Linked DNA regions of Saccharomyces cerevisiae S288C. Changing the gene in region 2 together with the main gene of any one other region gives a genetic interaction. Each region holds a gene or a part of one and is shown on either strand. Other genes may lie near its edges.

Evidence for each region.
Region 1: mutations in SAC6 (region 2) and ABP1 are lethal when combined (synthetic lethality), as found in Saccharomyces cerevisiae (5 studies listed by BioGRID, with this or other methods).
Region 3: mutations in SAC6 (region 2) and BBC1 are lethal when combined (synthetic lethality), as found in Saccharomyces cerevisiae (4 studies listed by BioGRID, with this or other methods).
Region 4: mutations in SAC6 (region 2) and ARP2 are lethal when combined (synthetic lethality), as found in Saccharomyces cerevisiae (3 studies listed by BioGRID, with this or other methods).

The regions. Positions count from the first base shown.
Region 1 is NC_001135.5:263,552-267,426, forward strand, and holds ABP1 (Abp1p), read left to right. Parts: upstream 1-1,516; coding exon 1,517-3,295; downstream 3,296-3,875. Other genes in the region: CSM1 (Csm1p), read left to right, coding at 1-413; YCR087C-A (uncharacterized protein), read right to left, coding at 455-916. UniProt on the Saccharomyces cerevisiae protein: Regulates ARP2/3 complex-mediated actin assembly. Recruits ARP2/3 complex to sides of preexisting actin filaments, which may promote nucleation or stabilization of filament branches. Binds to actin filaments, but not actin monomers.
Region 2 is NC_001136.10:712,834-717,374, forward strand, and holds SAC6 (fimbrin), read right to left. Parts: upstream 2,547-4,541; coding exon 2,526-2,546; intron 2,415-2,525; coding exon 507-2,414; downstream 1-506. Other genes in the region: MTC5 (Mtc5p), read left to right, coding at 1-162; FIN1 (Fin1p), read right to left, coding at 2,914-3,789; YDR131C (uncharacterized protein), read right to left, coding at 3,957-4,541. UniProt on the Saccharomyces cerevisiae protein: Binds to actin, and functionally associates with actin structures involved in the development and maintenance of cell polarity.
Region 3 is NC_001142.9:398,437-404,349, forward strand, and holds BBC1 (Bbc1p), read right to left. Parts: upstream 3,975-5,913; coding exon 501-3,974; downstream 1-500. Other genes in the region: MPS3 (Mps3p), read left to right, coding at 4,461-5,913. UniProt on the Saccharomyces cerevisiae protein: Involved in the regulation of actin cytoskeleton.
Region 4 is NC_001136.10:397,421-401,210, reverse strand, and holds ARP2 (actin-related protein 2), read right to left. Parts: upstream 1,872-3,790; coding exon 1,850-1,871; intron 1,727-1,849; coding exon 573-1,726; downstream 1-572. Other genes in the region: serine/threonine/tyrosine protein kinase MPS1, read left to right, coding at 1-214; SF3a splicing factor complex subunit PRP9, read right to left, coding at 2,082-3,674. UniProt on the Saccharomyces cerevisiae protein: Functions as ATP-binding component of the Arp2/3 complex which is involved in regulation of actin polymerization and together with an activating nucleation-promoting factor (NPF) mediates the formation of branched actin networks.

The DNA.
Region 1 (3,875 bases), on a different chromosome or scaffold from region 2:
ACGCACAAGTCAAGGAGCTGAAGACTCAGACTTCCCAACAGGCAGAAAATTCAGAAGTCATAAAGGACCTTTACGAGTACCTCTGTAACGTACGTGTACATAAAAGCTACGAGGATGATTCTGGGTTGTGGTTCGACATCTCGCAGGGCACCCACTCAGGGGGATCTTCCGATGATTATTCGATAATGGACTATAAACTCGGATTTGTCAAGGGCCAGGCCCAAGTCACAGAAGTCATATATGCGCCCGTTCTTAAACAGCGATCCACCGAGGAACTATACTCGCTACAGTCGAAACTACCGGAATACCTCTTCGAAACGTTGAGTTTCCCCCTCTCGTCGCTAAACCAATTCTATAACAAAATCGCTAAAAGCCTGAATAAGAAAAGAGAGAAAAAAGATGAAACCGAGTAAGCTGCTACATAATGTCTATATATCTACACATAAAATTCCGATTATTCCTTTGCATACCTGATTTGCCCCTCAGAATCCACAACCAGACTTTTCAAGAAGGTCTTTTTTGCCCCTTTATCCTTCATGGTTTTCAAAATTTTGTACAACGACTTGCCCTTGTGAAGCTCGATACCGTTCGAGGTCTTTTCCACTTTCTCTGCCTTCTTGATCACAGGCTTCTCCACTTTCTTTGCAGGAGTTGCCACTGGCTGGTGCTGGTGCTGCTTCTGCTGCTGCTTCTGCTGCTGCTTCTGCTTCTGCTTCTTGTTGCCCTTGTACAACGCTTTCTGGTACTTCTCGTCCTCGCTGATGCAAGACGTGTGATTCTTGTAACTCACGCCATCTTCAAACGTCTTGGAGCAATCTATGCATGTATAGTACGCGTTAGGACATCTATAATAATGCTTTTCGGTATTCTTCTTGGGCACAGTATCATTACACACCTCACAGTTGAACGTAACCATCCTGTAATAACAAATATTTCTTGACTGAGACCGTTTGCTGTTGTATACAGAATACTCTTAGAGCTCATCGCAAGTTAAAAATTTTCAATTTTTTTTCACTTTTTCCCGTCAAGGCAAAAAGCAACCAAAAGAGAATGAACCTTTATTTTTGATTTATTTATTATGAGATGCTGCTAGTCCACTCATCTGCATCAATGTAGTAGTCACAAAGCTAATATTTAGACGTTACTTTGATATCTCTGTCCATGAGAGCACTTATTTTAGGAAGTTAAATGAGACAGTCAATAGTTCACAATATCCCGTCAGCAATGGAGGGAAAAGGCATTCCTTTTCCATAGGATTTTAATCGTTTTCAAGCATCATACGCCCTCGAGGAACTCTTGTTTTCGCTTTACTATGCAACCATTGATGTATTTCTGTATAAATGTGCGTCACGTGGCCTTGTGTCTCTTATTTCCACTTGTTTTTTCACAATGCGGAAAACCTCGATTAAAGTAGAAAAAAAGGATATAATAGGAGTATACCATATTGGATAGTTCAATCTATAAACAAACAATCGCATAACCGCACGTATATACACGCACACACCTATCAATCACAATGGCTTTGGAACCTATTGATTATACTACTCACTCGAGAGAGATCGACGCAGAGTACCTGAAGATTGTCAGAGGCTCCGATCCTGACACCACCTGGTTGATTATTTCACCCAATGCGAAAAAAGAATACGAACCTGAGTCTACCGGTTCCTCCTTTCACGATTTCTTGCAATTGTTTGATGAAACCAAGGTCCAGTACGGACTGGCACGTGTGTCCCCACCAGGGTCAGACGTTGAGAAGATTATTATCATTGGTTGGTGTCCTGATTCTGCGCCATTGAAGACAAGGGCCTCTTTCGCCGCCAATTTTGCTGCAGTTGCTAATAATCTGTTCAAGGGTTACCACGTTCAAGTTACCGCCAGAGACGAGGACGATCTTGACGAAAATGAACTGTTGATGAAAATCAGTAACGCGGCCGGTGCCCGTTATTCTATTCAGACTTCCTCCAAGCAACAGGGGAAGGCTTCCACTCCTCCCGTGAAGAAATCCTTCACACCTTCCAAGAGCCCTGCTCCAGTTTCTAAGAAGGAACCAGTCAAGACTCCTTCCCCAGCACCTGCTGCTAAGATTTCTTCCCGTGTTAACGACAACAATGACGACGACGATTGGAATGAGCCTGAATTAAAGGAACGCGACTTCGATCAGGCTCCCCTGAAACCAAATCAATCATCTTACAAACCAATTGGCAAAATCGACTTGCAAAAAGTGATTGCTGAAGAAAAGGCTAAGGAGGACCCACGTCTTGTTCAAAAGCCAACCGCTGCTGGTTCCAAGATTGATCCTAGTTCTGATATCGCTAATTTAAAGAACGAATCAAAATTAAAGAGGGACTCCGAGTTTAACTCCTTTTTGGGCACCACTAAACCCCCCTCCATGACGGAATCTTCATTAAAGAATGATGATGATAAAGTCATTAAGGGTTTTAGAAACGAGAAATCACCTGCTCAATTATGGGCCGAAAGAAAGGCAAAGCAAAACAGCGGCAACGCCGAAACTAAGGCTGAGGCACCAAAACCTGAAGTTCCAGAAGATGAGCCTGAAGGTGAACCTGACGTCAAAGATTTGAAATCAAAATTTGAAGGATTGGCCGCTTCAGAAAAAGAGGAGGAAGAAATGGAAAACAAATTTGCTCCTCCTCCAAAGAAATCAGAACCAACTATTATCTCACCAAAACCCTTCTCCAAGCCACAAGAACCTGTGAAAGCTGAAGAAGCCGAGCAGCCTAAGACTGATTACAAGAAGATCGGCAACCCATTACCCGGTATGCACATTGAAGCGGATAATGAGGAAGAACCAGAAGAGAATGATGATGACTGGGATGATGATGAAGACGAGGCTGCTCAACCTCCTTTGCCTTCGAGGAATGTTGCGTCAGGAGCACCAGTGCAAAAAGAAGAGCCTGAACAAGAAGAGATCGCCCCAAGCTTACCTTCTAGAAACTCGATCCCAGCTCCAAAACAAGAAGAAGCACCTGAACAAGCACCTGAAGAAGAAATTGAAGAAGAAGCTGAGGAAGCCGCTCCACAGCTGCCATCAAGAAGCTCTGCAGCTCCTCCTCCGCCTCCAAGACGAGCAACTCCAGAGAAAAAGCCAAAGGAAAATCCTTGGGCCACAGCAGAATATGATTACGATGCTGCAGAAGATAACGAACTGACCTTTGTGGAAAATGACAAGATTATCAATATTGAATTTGTCGACGATGACTGGTGGCTAGGGGAACTAGAGAAAGACGGCTCAAAAGGTCTCTTCCCCAGCAATTATGTGTCTTTGGGCAACTAGAATCACACGTCAGCGTCATGCTATTATATTATTCTTACGTAAAAAAATACTTACAGAGACGTTAAAGCTTTTGTATAGATACTTTCACGAGCCTTCCCTTTCAGTAAAATGAACAAATTATTTTGCCTTGTCCTTCTTTGTTTCAAGCGTTTATATGACTCCTCTACAGTATTATTTTTCAACAGACGGTGTGCCCGTACGGCGTTGTCAAAACCTCGAACATAAAACAACACTGAAACAAACTTATTGCACTCCTGCATCGCATACAGATCTGATACTTACTACAACCATAATGCTGTTTTAGAATCGCATCAGGTGTTTACCAGAAGTGTATGGTACATGGTGCTTTCCTTATGCTCACTATTTCGGATTTACTTCTAGTCTATGTATAGATTTGTTAGAGACCAGTTTTAAGCTACAATGGAACGTTAAGATTAAGAAATGCATGAAGAGTCTCCCAGTAGATATATAAAGCTGAATTAAATTCAGTACAATGGAAGTTTCCACGTCTTTCTGTATTTTCATACCTTTAATTATAGGAAAAGCACACTACAAAAATACGCTATCATCTACCGAATAT
Region 2 (4,541 bases):
CGAAATTGTAATTACTGTGATTTAAGAGTGACAAGAAGTAGCTTCATATGTGGAAATTGTCAACATGTTTTACACTCTTCGTGCGCGAGGATATGGTGGGAGATTGGTGATGAGTGCCCATCTGGATGTGGGTGCAATTGTCCGGAAATGTTCGATGCCTAAAAGCTTAACTATCACGTACATTTTCTGCATATTTCAAAGAACCTTGGATGTATATGAAAAAAAGTTCACAGGATATATGGCTTAATAAGTAGTTTATTTACGATTTTTTAATCCAGTAGAGGCATGATAGAAGACGACAACGGAATCATTGAGCGTTGGAGGCATTTTTACAATGGCTCAGTAATCACGAATAAAAGTAGGTGGAAGTTGAAATCTATTATTACATATTAAAAACTTCAGAAATACTTGAGGCTATATATTGTTGTACACTTAACCAATCGTATAACGGAGCATTGGAACAAGAAAGCTGAGTAGAAAACAGGTTACGAAAGTTGTTTGTTGGCTCATTTGTTCAAAGTCATTAACGAAGCGATAAAAGTAATAATTAATCTTGCACGAACTTCGTTGATATCTTCTGGCACCAACCAAATCAAAGCACCCAACTTTCTAGCAATAGAAATAGCCAATCTTGCGTTTGCGTACCTTTCTTCCTCGGTGTTACCAGGGGTGACTAGATCATAATCAACATAGCCCGGCGCGATACCATTCAGAACATCCAATAAGAAGTGGGCGTTTGATAAAGCTTGGTCCTTAAATGATCTAATGGTAGAGTTTTTACCACCTTTAGTTACCTGGTCTTGGGCCCACTTTAATATTTGAGAATCACTCATGTCTCTACCACTTGAGGATAATGTCTTCATGGTTATCGAAATATTTCTACGCATCAATTGCCACACTAACCCTAAGGTCAGTAATTTGTTACCATCTACAATATCAGATCCTTCGATACCAACCAAAGAAAATCCTTTGGCTCTGCCCAAGTCGACTGCATAGTTGGTGTTTTCTAAGGCTTTGAATCTGGATATCTCTGCACCCGAGGCCGGTCTTTTGTTGACATGTTTAAAATCAACAGCACCGGGCATCACCTTTTCGTAAGCTTGCAATAATATCAAACCATCCTTCAAATCATCAAACAGCGAAATGACAGGTGGATCAACGTCAAGAGAGTTCAACCATAAGGTAAAGACTCTTGCCTCTCTCTCACCTTCGGCGTCAAATTCTTCAATTTCAGGCTTTTCCTCTTCCTGAATAGGCTCTAATCCAGGATGTGTATTGAATAGATGTGCCACGAAAGCCAGGTTTAATTTAGGGTTCCCCGCAACTAATGAACTTGGGGTTAAATACTTTCTACAATCTAGCTTTTCAGCATTTTGTAAAACTTGCTCAGCTCTCTCCATTAAATCTGTGGTTTGTAATGGTGCCTTAGAACACAAGGCGGGGTCCAACTGGTTCAACAAGATAGTATAGTTTTCACCATCAGACACGTCTTTTGAAAAATTGGTAACCCTTCTGTTCCAGTTTGCTTGCTTCAAATGGTAGTTAAACCAACGTAGTAGAATTTGCTCCGGAGGCAACCTCAAAAATTGCTCCAACGTTTCATCATCCTCCAATAGACGGTATAACTCAGGATGCAGCTTAATATCAATTTTACTTAACAAACCTCTCCTAATAATTTGCCAAATCAAACCCAGGATCAAATGCTCTCTACCTTCAATAATGTCCTCGGAATGAACATTAACAACGACACAACCAATGGCTTTTGCAGAATTAATAACAATATTAGCATTTTCACTAGCCTGAAAATTATTCAATTCCTTACCCTTCTTAGGCCAATTCAAAACTCTTGTATCGATAGTATCAGGAACAGAGTCGTTGATCAACTTAGATAGCACCAACCCATCCCTACATTCATCAAATAATTGGAAAGTATCAGTAGGAAATGGAAGCAAATCACCTATATCTTGGTCTCCCGCCAAGACGCTATTGATATGTTTAGTAAATTCACGTCTTTCTTCTTCATTGATGGTATGTGTAGTACCTGTTTGGGAGCCAGCAACAATAATCTTGGCTTGAGTACCCTTACCCTTGTGCTGTAGTCCTGTGGCAGCAGTGGAAACAATAGGGGTTGAGTTAGGTGCTACGTTGAAAGTGGTCTGTGGAGCAGCTCCTGTTTTAGATTCTCTTAATTTTGCAACCAACCCGACGTAATCGTCCAGTTCAACACGGCCTGACGCATCCACACCCACATGCTTCAGGGTTTCTCTTGCTTCGTCATAAGTAGCATCACCATCTTTGGACACCGCTTCTAGAGCTTGCTGTTTTTCAACCCATCCTTTATCATCTAAGTCAATGGCTCTGAACTTTTCAATTGTGGAAAAAAGATCCTCTTGAGTCAAAATTGGAAATTTTCTCTAATCGCAGAAGAGTTTGTTAGTATATGAAACGTTTATTACAACCTAAAAGGTAGAAAAAACTTTTTCACTGTGCTCAGCAGTGTGGGAATTCGAGAAAGGCATACATACTTGTAATTTGACAATATTCATTGTGTTTTGGTGTACTCCTTAGGGCTAATATATCAGCTTCTTCTCTGATAATTTTAGTGTAAAGAGCTTTCTTGTTCTCCTGAAATAACCAAAATTTATATCGATAAATCTTCATTATAAACTTCGCCCCGTACTTTTGATATTTTTCCGCCTCCCGAGGAGTGCTTTTTCACATGAAGGCCATCGGGAACAAGAAGAAAAGCCGTTCACGTAAGAAAATAGGACCCTATATCCGGTCAGGATCACTCAAGCTGTATGTAAATGTAATATAGACAAAGCACCTTTAACTGCTAAGAATTAATTATAGTGTCGGAAATATAACATAACTTGCTTACTTCCTGTGTAAAAAATGTGAGAAGGGATATGATTACTTATGTTTCGGTATTTCCGTGAGTTGAAGTTCGATATTGGATAATCTTGATTCAATCTCTCGCTGTCTTCTCAACATTTGTAGTAGCAAGTCCTTTATTTCTTTAAGTTCCACGGTTTCTTCAGTCACTATATTATCAGGTAGTTTAAATTTTACACTTTTCTGGAAACTAGCTTTGTGTATCTTACCTTCGTTCGCCAGCATGGAATTCAGTTTAGTGTTCGATTTAGTAAGGGATTCTATGCCATTTCCCACGTCTTCCTCTTCTTTCTTGAGTTCAACTAATAAATTCTTCCCTTTCAATTTAGCTCGAGGAAGGTCATTCTCAAATGGGGCGTCCTTGAGCTCAGTATTAGAACAGAGGTCAGTGTTGCTTTTGGCATCCGATGGGAGAATATGTTGCTGCTGTTGCTGCTGTATCCTTTCAGGTGACATGAGTCCATTCTTAAACCGGGCCCGTATTCTCGTTAACGAACCATCACCCCCGATTTTATTTTCATTACTGAATGTCAGTTTGGTTGGTGATGTAGGGAATATTATATTAGTTATATGATCTGAGTTTTGGATCTTCACATTTTTATTCGAATTTTTGAACTGAGGCCTATCCAGGCTTTGAGTTTCCTTAGAGACATAGCCCTTCAGACATTCCGGCGACATAATCCTTCTTGGTGTTACTTGTATACTATGCTTCATTCCATCTGTCTTGTTAGGTGATATCCTCATAGGTGGTTTCAAAAACTCTTTTTGGCTTGTCGTCCTCAAAGGGGACATACTCAATCTCACAAAGACATTGTCCTTGTCACTTGGTATATTATTTCGACCAATCGTATTCCCTATGTCACGTAAACTCCTGCGGTTGCTTTTATTGCTCATAATTTGTTTTATTGAACTATGTCACATCACTGCAATCCAGTGAGAACACTGAGAAAGCTCTAACTAGACTATACAATCCATTTGTTTTGATTTCCTCTTGTTGACAATTTGCAGTATTTAGAGTATATATCATTATGTACGTGTTATAACCGCCATGTCTCACAGTATCAACTAAATAGAGCTTCTGCGTCCACCAATTCATAAACAGAGTTGCTTTTATAGCCATTATTATAGAAGAGGGGAACCGCGCATCGTTGTAACTCGTCCACTTGTATTATTTTTGTAGGTATACCGTTGATGGTTAGATATTCTAAGTTCGGCAAACTTTGCTCAAAAACTTTAAATACGTCTTTTAGATAATGAAGGTATAAGTGGTACAAACTAATGGCATCTTCTCTAGTAATTTTATTCACTGTAATATTCTCAGTATTTTCTATGGTGCTTTGCAGATTTTCATTGAACTTTCGTACAAACGTTTCAATAGGTACAGAATCCCATCCCATCGCAGGTGATTCGTTGTCAATAATGTTTGTATAGGGCATGATCTTGTTCTCGAAAAACATTTGGTAAAAGAAATTATGGGCTTGGAACTTATTTGGGTTCTTTAAAAGTTTTGACCGGGTTTCAGGAAAGATTTTTTTTAGAATGACCTCGTGAATTGTATTTTTGCAAGTTGAACAAGGGCAGAAACCATCGAAATTCAAGCGAGTTAGTGGGTTATCTGTCATGGGAAAAAAAAGCCTGTGATTTAG
Region 3 (5,913 bases), on a different chromosome or scaffold from region 2:
CTTCATCTGCCATCGCCTTTCTATGTTTTCCGTATTTCTTCCCCGCAAGTTCTTTAAACTCAGATAGTATTAGAATCGATAATTAAGGCCAGGTCAAAGTTCGTATTAATTTCAACCTTTGGGCACCTATATTGGATTAATTTCCGTAAGATAATATATGAGAGCACTATCATGGAGTGATGAAGAAAAATTCAAACTCTAGGGGCAAACCGTTTGTTACGATTGCTCAAAAATTACTGCGTCTGAAGCCAGAATTGTAGGTATATACGAAAAGGTACAACTTGGGATACTATTGACGGCGGTAAGATAAGTGAATCCTACCTTTCGTTTTGAGCCGCTCAAATAAGACCTGATACAAAAACGGTTGTTTAATCTTTGTATAGTTTCTTCTGTAGAAGAGTTATGAAAATATACACTTAAACTATAACGATAAGAAAATGCGAAAGGAAAATGATGAAATCGAAAGCATTCACAATTTCCCCTTGGAAGCATTGGGTAAATTACCAACCTACGTATCCTCTCGCAACAATTCTGAAAACCTTTAACTTCCCACTTTTCATATGGCTTAGCTTGTAGCTGTTTTGAATAATCTTTCCCTCGTGATTTTCGATAACTCTAAACTTATTCTTTGTAAAATCATAATCAGTAACAACACTCGAATACGGAGCGGCGGAGTCCATTCCAACGTTGATAATTTCGTTTTTTCCGATCTTTTTATGAGCTTCAAATTTGGCCTTTCTAATTACAAGAATGTCACCTGGTTTAATCTTCTGTAAGCTCTTCATCAACTGTTCGATTCCTTCTTCAGGTTTATAACTCAATATAGTTGCGCCAAACGTTCTTGCTCCTATGGGTTGTATAACTTCGTCTTTGAATTCGGATACAATTTGTGACACGAAATTCTTAGCCCCAATATGTGAATTTATCAATGAATGAGATTTCTCTACAACTTTCGCATTAAACCTTTGAGCGTATTCATCAAGAATACGTGCTGATTGTGTTTCGACTGGCGATGGAAAGCGTTCTTGAAGAGTCGTTACCGTTTTCTCTGGGCTTGTACTATTAAAGGTCAAGGAGAATCTTAGTTGCGAATAGTTTTCAAACAAGAAGTAAAAATCCCTTACCACCCATTTTTGATGTAATCTTTTGGAAATGAAATGATCATCGATCTCCATCAAAAAGTTCAACTTCAGATTGCTTATAGCAGGAGGTGCGCTTTTATTAATCCACCATCTTTCTTGTGCATTAAACTCTATCTTGACGTTGTTGGAAATCTCGCCTACATCATGCGTCGTTGACCTTCTTATAGAGGCCACCTTCGGTGTAGTATCTGACTCATGGAATGAATCCACAGGACGATTCGTCAATGAAGGCACATGGGGCGGTAGGGTTCGTGATTCTTTTTCTGCCCCAGATAGTACTGAGGTTGGCACACGTTGTTGCGTACTCATCATTGAAGGTGTAGAGGCCGTGACATTTTGATGTGGTGGAGGAGAAGGAGCTGTATGTGAATGAGTGGCTGTTGGTTCAGAGTCAAATTCAAAAGTAGCCGGTGGTACTGGTGGTGCACGTGGAAGTGGCGGAGCAGTATTTGGCATAGGATGATATTCCTCGGATACAGGTGGAAGGGGAGCAGATGACTTGACATGTTCTTCTACTTCATTGTGTTTAGGCAGCGCAAGAGGCGCTGGAGGTGCTGGAGGTGCTGGAGGTGTTGGAGGTACTGGAGGTATTGAAGGTGCTGAGAGTGCTGGAGGTGCTGAAGATACTGGAGGTACTGGGGGTACTGGGGGTACTGAAGGTGCAGAGAGTGCTGGAGGTGCTGGAGGTACTGGAGGTGCAGAGGGTACTGAAGGTGCAGAGGGTACTGGAGGTGCAGAGGGTGCAGAAGGCACTGGGTGAGGTGGCACCTTGTCCTCAGGATGTGACACCTTACTTAGAACTGGAGCTGCTGGAGCTGCCATCGAAATATCTTGAGCGGTTTCTGTTAATGCAGATGAATTAGTGGAAACTGTATCATGATACTCGTTTATGGATTTCCGCCGATTTTCCCCTGAAATGGATTTAGTCAAAGAATTTATCGACCCGTTGCGAGCAACTCTTGTTTGTGGGGAAGAGACAGGCAAAACATTTCCAGTTGTGTTTTGTGATGAATTTTCAATATCATGTGATACTTCTGCAGTACGGTGGGAGATTGGTGGTTCTTGAGGGTAAATTTTTTCTCCGGAATTAACATTCTCTGACTCATTATTACCTATCTGAAAAGCTTGCTCCACCATCGAATGCTTTCTCAACCCATCGTTTGCATCCTCAAACTCGTGGTCGTCAGTATCTTCATCAGAATCATGGTCAGAGTATTCGGGATGTGCATTATCAACAGCAGCTAAATTGTGATAGGCGTGTGTACCATGTTCTTGCTTCTGTTCATGCTCTGTGGTTGCATGAGGATCTAGCGTCTTTGTTTCAGTGGGTTGATTCTTCTCACTTAGATTTGATTTCCTAAAAAATGGGTTAGAACTTGGGTCAACAAATGGCATAACAGGTATGGCACGAGGTAGTTCTTGGAGCTGTTCAGGTTCCTCCTCCTCCTTCTCCTTATGCTGTTTCTTTTTCGGCTCTTCTGATGGTTTATTTCCAACTCCAGAAGCCATACCGAAGGGGTTAAAACCAACAGGAGCACCGAATCTACTAGCGCCAGATAGTTTAGCCATTCTTTCTCTCAATGCGGCCCTACGATTCTCTTCACTATCTTCCTCTTCTTTTTCCTCATCATTATCTCCCTCTCTGTCTTCATGGCCGTAACCTATTTCGCTTTCCTCAGCAACATTTTCTCCTCTTGCCTCGTCTGCTTGTGACTCCTCAACTTTCTGATTTTCCTTTGTGTACTCATCTAAAAATTGTTCTTTCTCTATGTCATTCGTGCCTTCATCTGCTTCGCGTGAGGTTTTAGTAATCTCTTTATGTGCCAATAATTCCATTTGCGGTTCCTCGTTGTGCTCAGTTTCAGGCGTAAATTCAGGTTTCGGTTCAGTTTTTTCATTTTCTTCTGCTTCTTCAGTTTCCGTATAGGGCTCATTCTTGTTAACCGCACTACGTTCATGTTCTTGTTCGAGCTTAGCCTTTTTTCTCAAGAGTTCTTCTTCTCTTGCAGCCTGTAATCTTTGTTGCTCCTGTAAAAGAGCAATTCTTTCTTTAAGGCTCATCTGGGGCAAATCCTTCTTTAATTGGTCATTCTCAGTTTCTATTCTTCCACTTTCCACCTGTGCACGATTAATTGGTTCGGGAACAATCTTTTTTTCGTTTTCCTTTAGGGACTTTTTCCTTTCAAGATTGGACGTATCATTTGTTGGAATTCCAGGGGGGACATAGTATTTAGGAGCATCTGCCACAATTGTTTTTTTCACAGGTATGTTTTCTAAATCCAAGTGAGTTGATTTTGGTAAAGGAACTTGCTCCGTTATATCTTGATTAAACATAGATAAGCGAGCCTTCAATTTTGGAGAATCCATGGGAACTTTTCTTTCGCCATTACCACTACTACTATCATGCTGGACCTGTGCTGATACTGCTGTAGCGGCTGGAACTGGCACTGTAGCGGCTGGAACTGGCACTGTAGCGGCTGGAACTGGCACTGGCCCGGACAGAGTTTCTTTCTTCGTTTCAGGGGAAATGGGCTCTGGTAGGTCCTTTTGTTCTACTTCCGGCTGGATTGTACGTTGCTCAGTGGAACCGGTATTCGGAGATGATTCGGCTTCCTTTCCAACTTCAGATCCCTGAACAGCAACAAAACTTTTCGGGAAGATACCCTCAATAACGTCGCCATTTGAATCCTGGTATTCACCAAAGTACCATTCGGCGTCTTCAACAGACGTAACAATAATCTCTTGATCTTTTTCAAAATTTAAATCGTCCTCGTAATCGGACTTGTATGGGAACTGAGCCACCACCTTGAAGGGCACTTCGGGTTCACTCATCCTTAGTTTGGGTAAGACTGTGTTTACTTCTAGTAGCTCTTGCAGTTGGGACGCGATTGATGTTTACTACCGACTTGACGCTACTGTTTCACAGTGTGCTAGTAAATACCACTTCTAGTTGAAGTCTTAAGGAGATTATAATTCTGGAGGTAAAATAGGGGCATTGTAGACCTCTAACTATTTTCAGGGTATATTCCTATATTATATAGGTTTATTCTTAAAATATGAGGTTTATAAATGATACACATCACTTATTGATAGGGTTATACTCTTTGATACGGGTAACATATGAGACGCGAAAATGGAATATAATGACAATGTAAATATCGTCATCTTGAGATAATTATCAACAAGGTTGTCATGAGGAGTTACAGATAAAAGTCAACAGAGTGGAGTTAGTGGTGTTTTAACTGTAGTGCTCCATAGTTTCACGGCGGTTTCTCTTGTTTTCAGTTGGTAGTAACTTTTATCCTGGAAGTGCTGGAAATGAATAACTCAAATGAGCATAGGCGGGAAGAGGCAGGAGCGGCTAATGAACAAATGCCTTACAATAAGGCTGTAAAGTCCGCGTATGCAGATGTCCTCAAGGACAAAATGAATAGGGAACAGGAGATTAGCCTACGAGCCATCAAAAAAGGGATATACACCGATGGCGGTGAAACTGACAACTATGATATGGATAAAGAGAATGATTCCGCGTACGAAATGTTCAAAAAAAATCTTGATTTTCCGTTAGACCAACATAATGATGACGACGATGATGATCCGTACATTGAGGATAATGGACAAGAGACCGACGGATATAGCGACGAGGACTATACAGATGAGGCAGACAAGAGTTTTATAGAAGACAGCGATTCCGACAGCTACGATTTGGAAAGTAATTCTGACTTTGAAGAGAACTTGGAAAGTTCAGGTGAAGCTAAGAAGTTGAAGTGGCGGACGTACATTTTCTATGGAGGCCTTTTCTTCGTTTTTTATTTTTTTGGATCTTTTTTGATGACAACCGTGAAAAATAATGATTTAGAAAGCCATTCATCCGGCGCTACATCCTCTCCAGGCAAATCATTCAGCAACCTACAAAAACAGGTGAATCATTTATATAGTGAGTTGAGTAAGCGGGACGAAAAGCACAGTTCAGAATTGGATAAAACAGTAAAAATCATTGTCTCTCAATTTGAAAAGAATATTAAAAGACTTTTACCCTCAAATTTGGTTAATTTTGAAAATGACATTAACTCGCTGACAAAACAGGTTGAGACAATTTCAACTTCCATGAGTGAGTTACAGAGGCGAAATCACAAATTTACGGTCGAGAATGTTACTCAATGGCAAGATCAACTGGTAAAACAGTTGGATACACACCTCCCTCAAGAAATACCCGTTGTAATTAATAATTCTTCGTCGCTTTTAATAATCCCTGAATTGCACAATTATTTGAGTGCTTTGATTTCAGACGTTATTGAGTCTCCAGGCATTGGTACTGCTGGAAGCGCTGAAAGTCGTTGGGAGTATGATTTGAATCGCTATGTAAAGGAAATTCTTTCGAATGAGTTGCAATATATCGATAAGGATTATTTCATCCAAGAAATGAACAGAAGGTTGCAATCTAACAAACAGGAGATTTGGGAAGAGATCACAAATAGGTTAGAGACACAGCAGCAGCAGCAGCAGCAGCAGGTTCAACAGGATTATTCTAACGTGCCACAGCAGTATTCGAGCATATTAATGAAAAGATTAATTCACCAAATTTACAATTCCAATCAACACCAATGGGAGGACGATTTAGATTTTGCTACTTATGTTCAAGGTACTAAACTATTGAACCATTTAACTTCACCAACCTGGAGACAGGGCAGTGGGGTACAGCCGATAGAATTACTGACCGACTCCAAACAAAGCTCCTCAACTTACTGGCAATGTGAGAACGAACCTGGGT
Region 4 (3,790 bases), 320 kb from region 2:
AGCATGTCTGTACAGGAACCCAGACAAAAGATGGACTGTGGATAAAGTCCTGAGTAGCACTTTCCTTCAACCTTTTATGATATCCGGATCGATTATGGAAGACCTTATTAGGAATGCCGTTAGATATGGCTCTGAGAAGCCTCATATATCACAAGATGATCTCAATGATGTGGTAGACACTGTTTTAAGGAAATTTGCAGATTACAAAATTTAGAAGAGCCGCATAAGGAAGAAAAGCATGTGCCAGTTATGAACATAAATACATTTAGAGTTTGCCATGCATGTACTGATTTATTTACTTTGATCAACTCTTTTTTACATATTTATATATATTCATTTAAATAAATCATCAATCAATTTTTCGACACAGACACTGAATACTTGAAATACCAAGAAAAGGATAACTATCCTCTAACGGCGCTCAGTGAAATATTATATTTTGATTGCTTGTTCAACAATTGTGCCTTATTAACTTATTACATTTATATATAAGTTTATATTATTCCATTTCCATTTTTCATTCGTAGATTTAAACTTTTTTATTAATTCTTTTGGATCAATAAAGTTCAAATCTATCTTGGACCAAATTTAGTCATTGCAGATGGCCCGCTTTCTTGCCATTCTTGCTTAGACAACCACATGTGGTCTTTATCAGCCATGATACTAGCTAAAACGGCACCACCAATGAAAACCATATGCTTTCTCCTTGGAGGATCTTCAATTCTAACTTTGAATTTATCAAGTCTTGAAGGGTCATTGTGTAAAACTCTACTAAACCATAATTGTTTCAATTCTTTCTCTAATCTCGAAGGCAGCCCTGGGTACATACTTGAACCACCTGAAAGAACAATGGCCTTATACAGGGAACTTCTGATATCAACATCAGCCGATTGCACAGTATTAAATAACAGCTCGCCCACGCCAGGTTGTTCAACGTCAACCAAACCAGGTTGGAACAAACATTCTGGTGCTTCAAATCTCTCTTGTCCCACTTTGATTGTCCTGCCATCTGGTAACTCATACGATTCCACAAGGGCGGTTGTTTCTCTAGCCAATTTTGTATCTAGGTCTAAATCATATGAAACATAACATAATTTTTCCTTTATCTGACGCACAGTTTCGAAATCTGCAGTTCTGTTAAATGCATAACCACGACGAGAAAGCAGATCAATCAAATGCCTAGTAACGTCTCTACCCGCAACATCTAATCTTCTTGTTAAGTGGCTCAAAACGACAGATTCGTAAACTGGGACTATATGAGTAACACCGTCACCGGAATCGACGACGACTCCTGAAGACAAACCTTGTGCGTACAATGCTAGAACAGCTTGGATGGCAACATAAACTCCGCCAAAATCGTATTTTTCGAACATTACCTCACACATTTTTTCCCTATTTTTCAGCGGATTCATTGGAGGTTCCGTTAGTAAAATCTTACCGTTGGAGGTGGATGGTAGTTTCATTTGCTCGAAAAAGGCGTAATCCCAAAGAAGTTCCATATCTGTCCAATTCTTAATAATACCGTTTTCCATAGGATAAGATATTTGCAGATAAGAGCGAACTTCACTTGCCTCATCACCAATCATAATGTCCTTTAATGGTGTAGCAACGCTGGCACGTTCTTCCGCCCTCAAGATGGGTCTACCAACAATAGAAGGAAACGTGTAATCTGGGAAATTCTCGCCAGCACGACCAATTTTGACGAAACCAGTACCCTGATCAAGGACTATATCGAGATGGTTAGTATTAATAATATAGGGGTAAAAGAACTAAAATGCAAAAGAGGCAAAGCCAAAAGGGGCACCGAGCTCAATTGCCTCCACAAACACTAAAAATATCAACAACATACCAATTGGATTATGTGGGTCCATTATTATTATATAGTTTTGTTAGTTTATTACTGTGATTTGTCTTCTGGTACGTATATTTAACTTTCACGTCCGTTTTCTTCCATTATATGGGTCCTCAAATTGTTTTTCGCCTTTCAATTCTACAAGACGGGTAATAAGGTCATTACTAAGAATAGTATAAATACATACAACTGCTATCTATCAAACAAATATACATATCACAGAGAGATTTCACACCAAACCTTGCTTCTTAAGTTCATCGTAGACCTTCTTACTCATTACATTTCCTTCTTCGTCTTCTTCTTCTAGTTCTAATTCTGTAGGAACTTTTAGTTGTGAAGGATTAGGCTTTGGGGGAACTGCTGCAATAGATGTCAACTGTGACTGCCCCTGCATATTTTTCCAGAGCTCTTGTGCCTCCTTAATTTTGGTTATGCCCTTGAATACTGAAGAAGGTTCGATACCAAGGCATCGCAAGTGATAAATATGTCTTTCTTCGTTGAAATGTCTTTCAAAAGTGCGTCGCCCATTATAAACTTTATTCGAACAAATTTCGCAGCGATACTCTCTGTCAAGCCCATGCAGTTTGTATAGCCAGTATGGCATAGGCAATCCATCCGGACCCAATGGCATGTCAAACGATTTACCAGAGAGGTGCTCTTCTTGCAGTTGACCATCTCTCTGCTCACCATCCACTTGTTCGGCCCCCTCTTTTTCCGTCGAATCATATGCAGGTGCTTCATACTTCTGTGTTAAGATATCCATTTCTGCCATTCTTTCATTTGCAGTAAATGCCAGTTTTCTTTCAACAAAACTTCTCGTTCGAGAAAATTCATCATTTAAATATTTCAAATACCGATGCAGTTTATATTCAGAGTACACAAAATTTCTTCTTTTAGATTCATTTTTCTTATGAATTTTCCCTACTAAATGGCTTTCGAAAACGGAAGATGTCTTGAACCACCTCGAACAAAAAGGGCAATAGATACCTTTTGCCTCGGACCGAAGAGATCCCCTACAGTATGAATGTTCGAAGTCAGATTTGATTAGATTTTCAACTGCCGCAGCGTCAAGCAAAGCATAACTTTTGAAGAAAAAAGTTTCTACATATTTGCTCAACTTTAGCAAAAAGGCCATGTATCTATCATTCTTGCGATCCATCGGTGGGGTTAGCAAATATTTCTCGTCGTCCAAAAATAATTCTAGGATGTCGAGAAATTGAAGCAGTGAACAATCGCCCCGTTTAATTACATTCAACCATAAAGAATGAAATTGTTCCAGCTCCATATATTCACCATATTGCTCATCTCTAGTAAATATTTCATTTAAGTCTAGGTCTCGAGCTCTGTCAGACAATATATTTGTGCGCCTCGATGGATCAGAAGAAGATGAGAATAAAGCGTATTTGTCTTTTTTAGAGTTGATATCCAATTCAAAGTTCTCATCTTCATTTTTCAGTTCCTTCTCTAGCTGTTGTAGTTTTCTTTCGAAATTAGGCAAATCCTTGTCATCCTCCTGTGTCTCTTCTGGACGATTGATTTTATTAAAAGTTTGTTGTTTCTCTTGGTAGTCTCGAAGAAAAATATTTATCTCATGTTGCTGCAAAATTATCTGTTTTCTCTTCCTCTTAACCTTTTTAAACTTGTATATTTTATTCTCTGCAATCAACGATGATCTAGGCAGTTTAGTATCAGGAAACACCTTGCTCGATTCTTGTATATAGTGGTAATATAACTCTGGATTCCGCTGAATTCTTTCTGCTATGGCATTTTCAATAATCTCCATCTCCTCCAACAAGGACCTCCTTGTTTCAAGTAAATTCATTGAGATGATGCCCTCCTACTCCTATTAAAGCAAAATTAAATGAATGTATACACCCTCGCTTGGCTCACCGAAGGTTCTTGATCTACCGTATAACTAAGTACTTTTTATTGCACTTC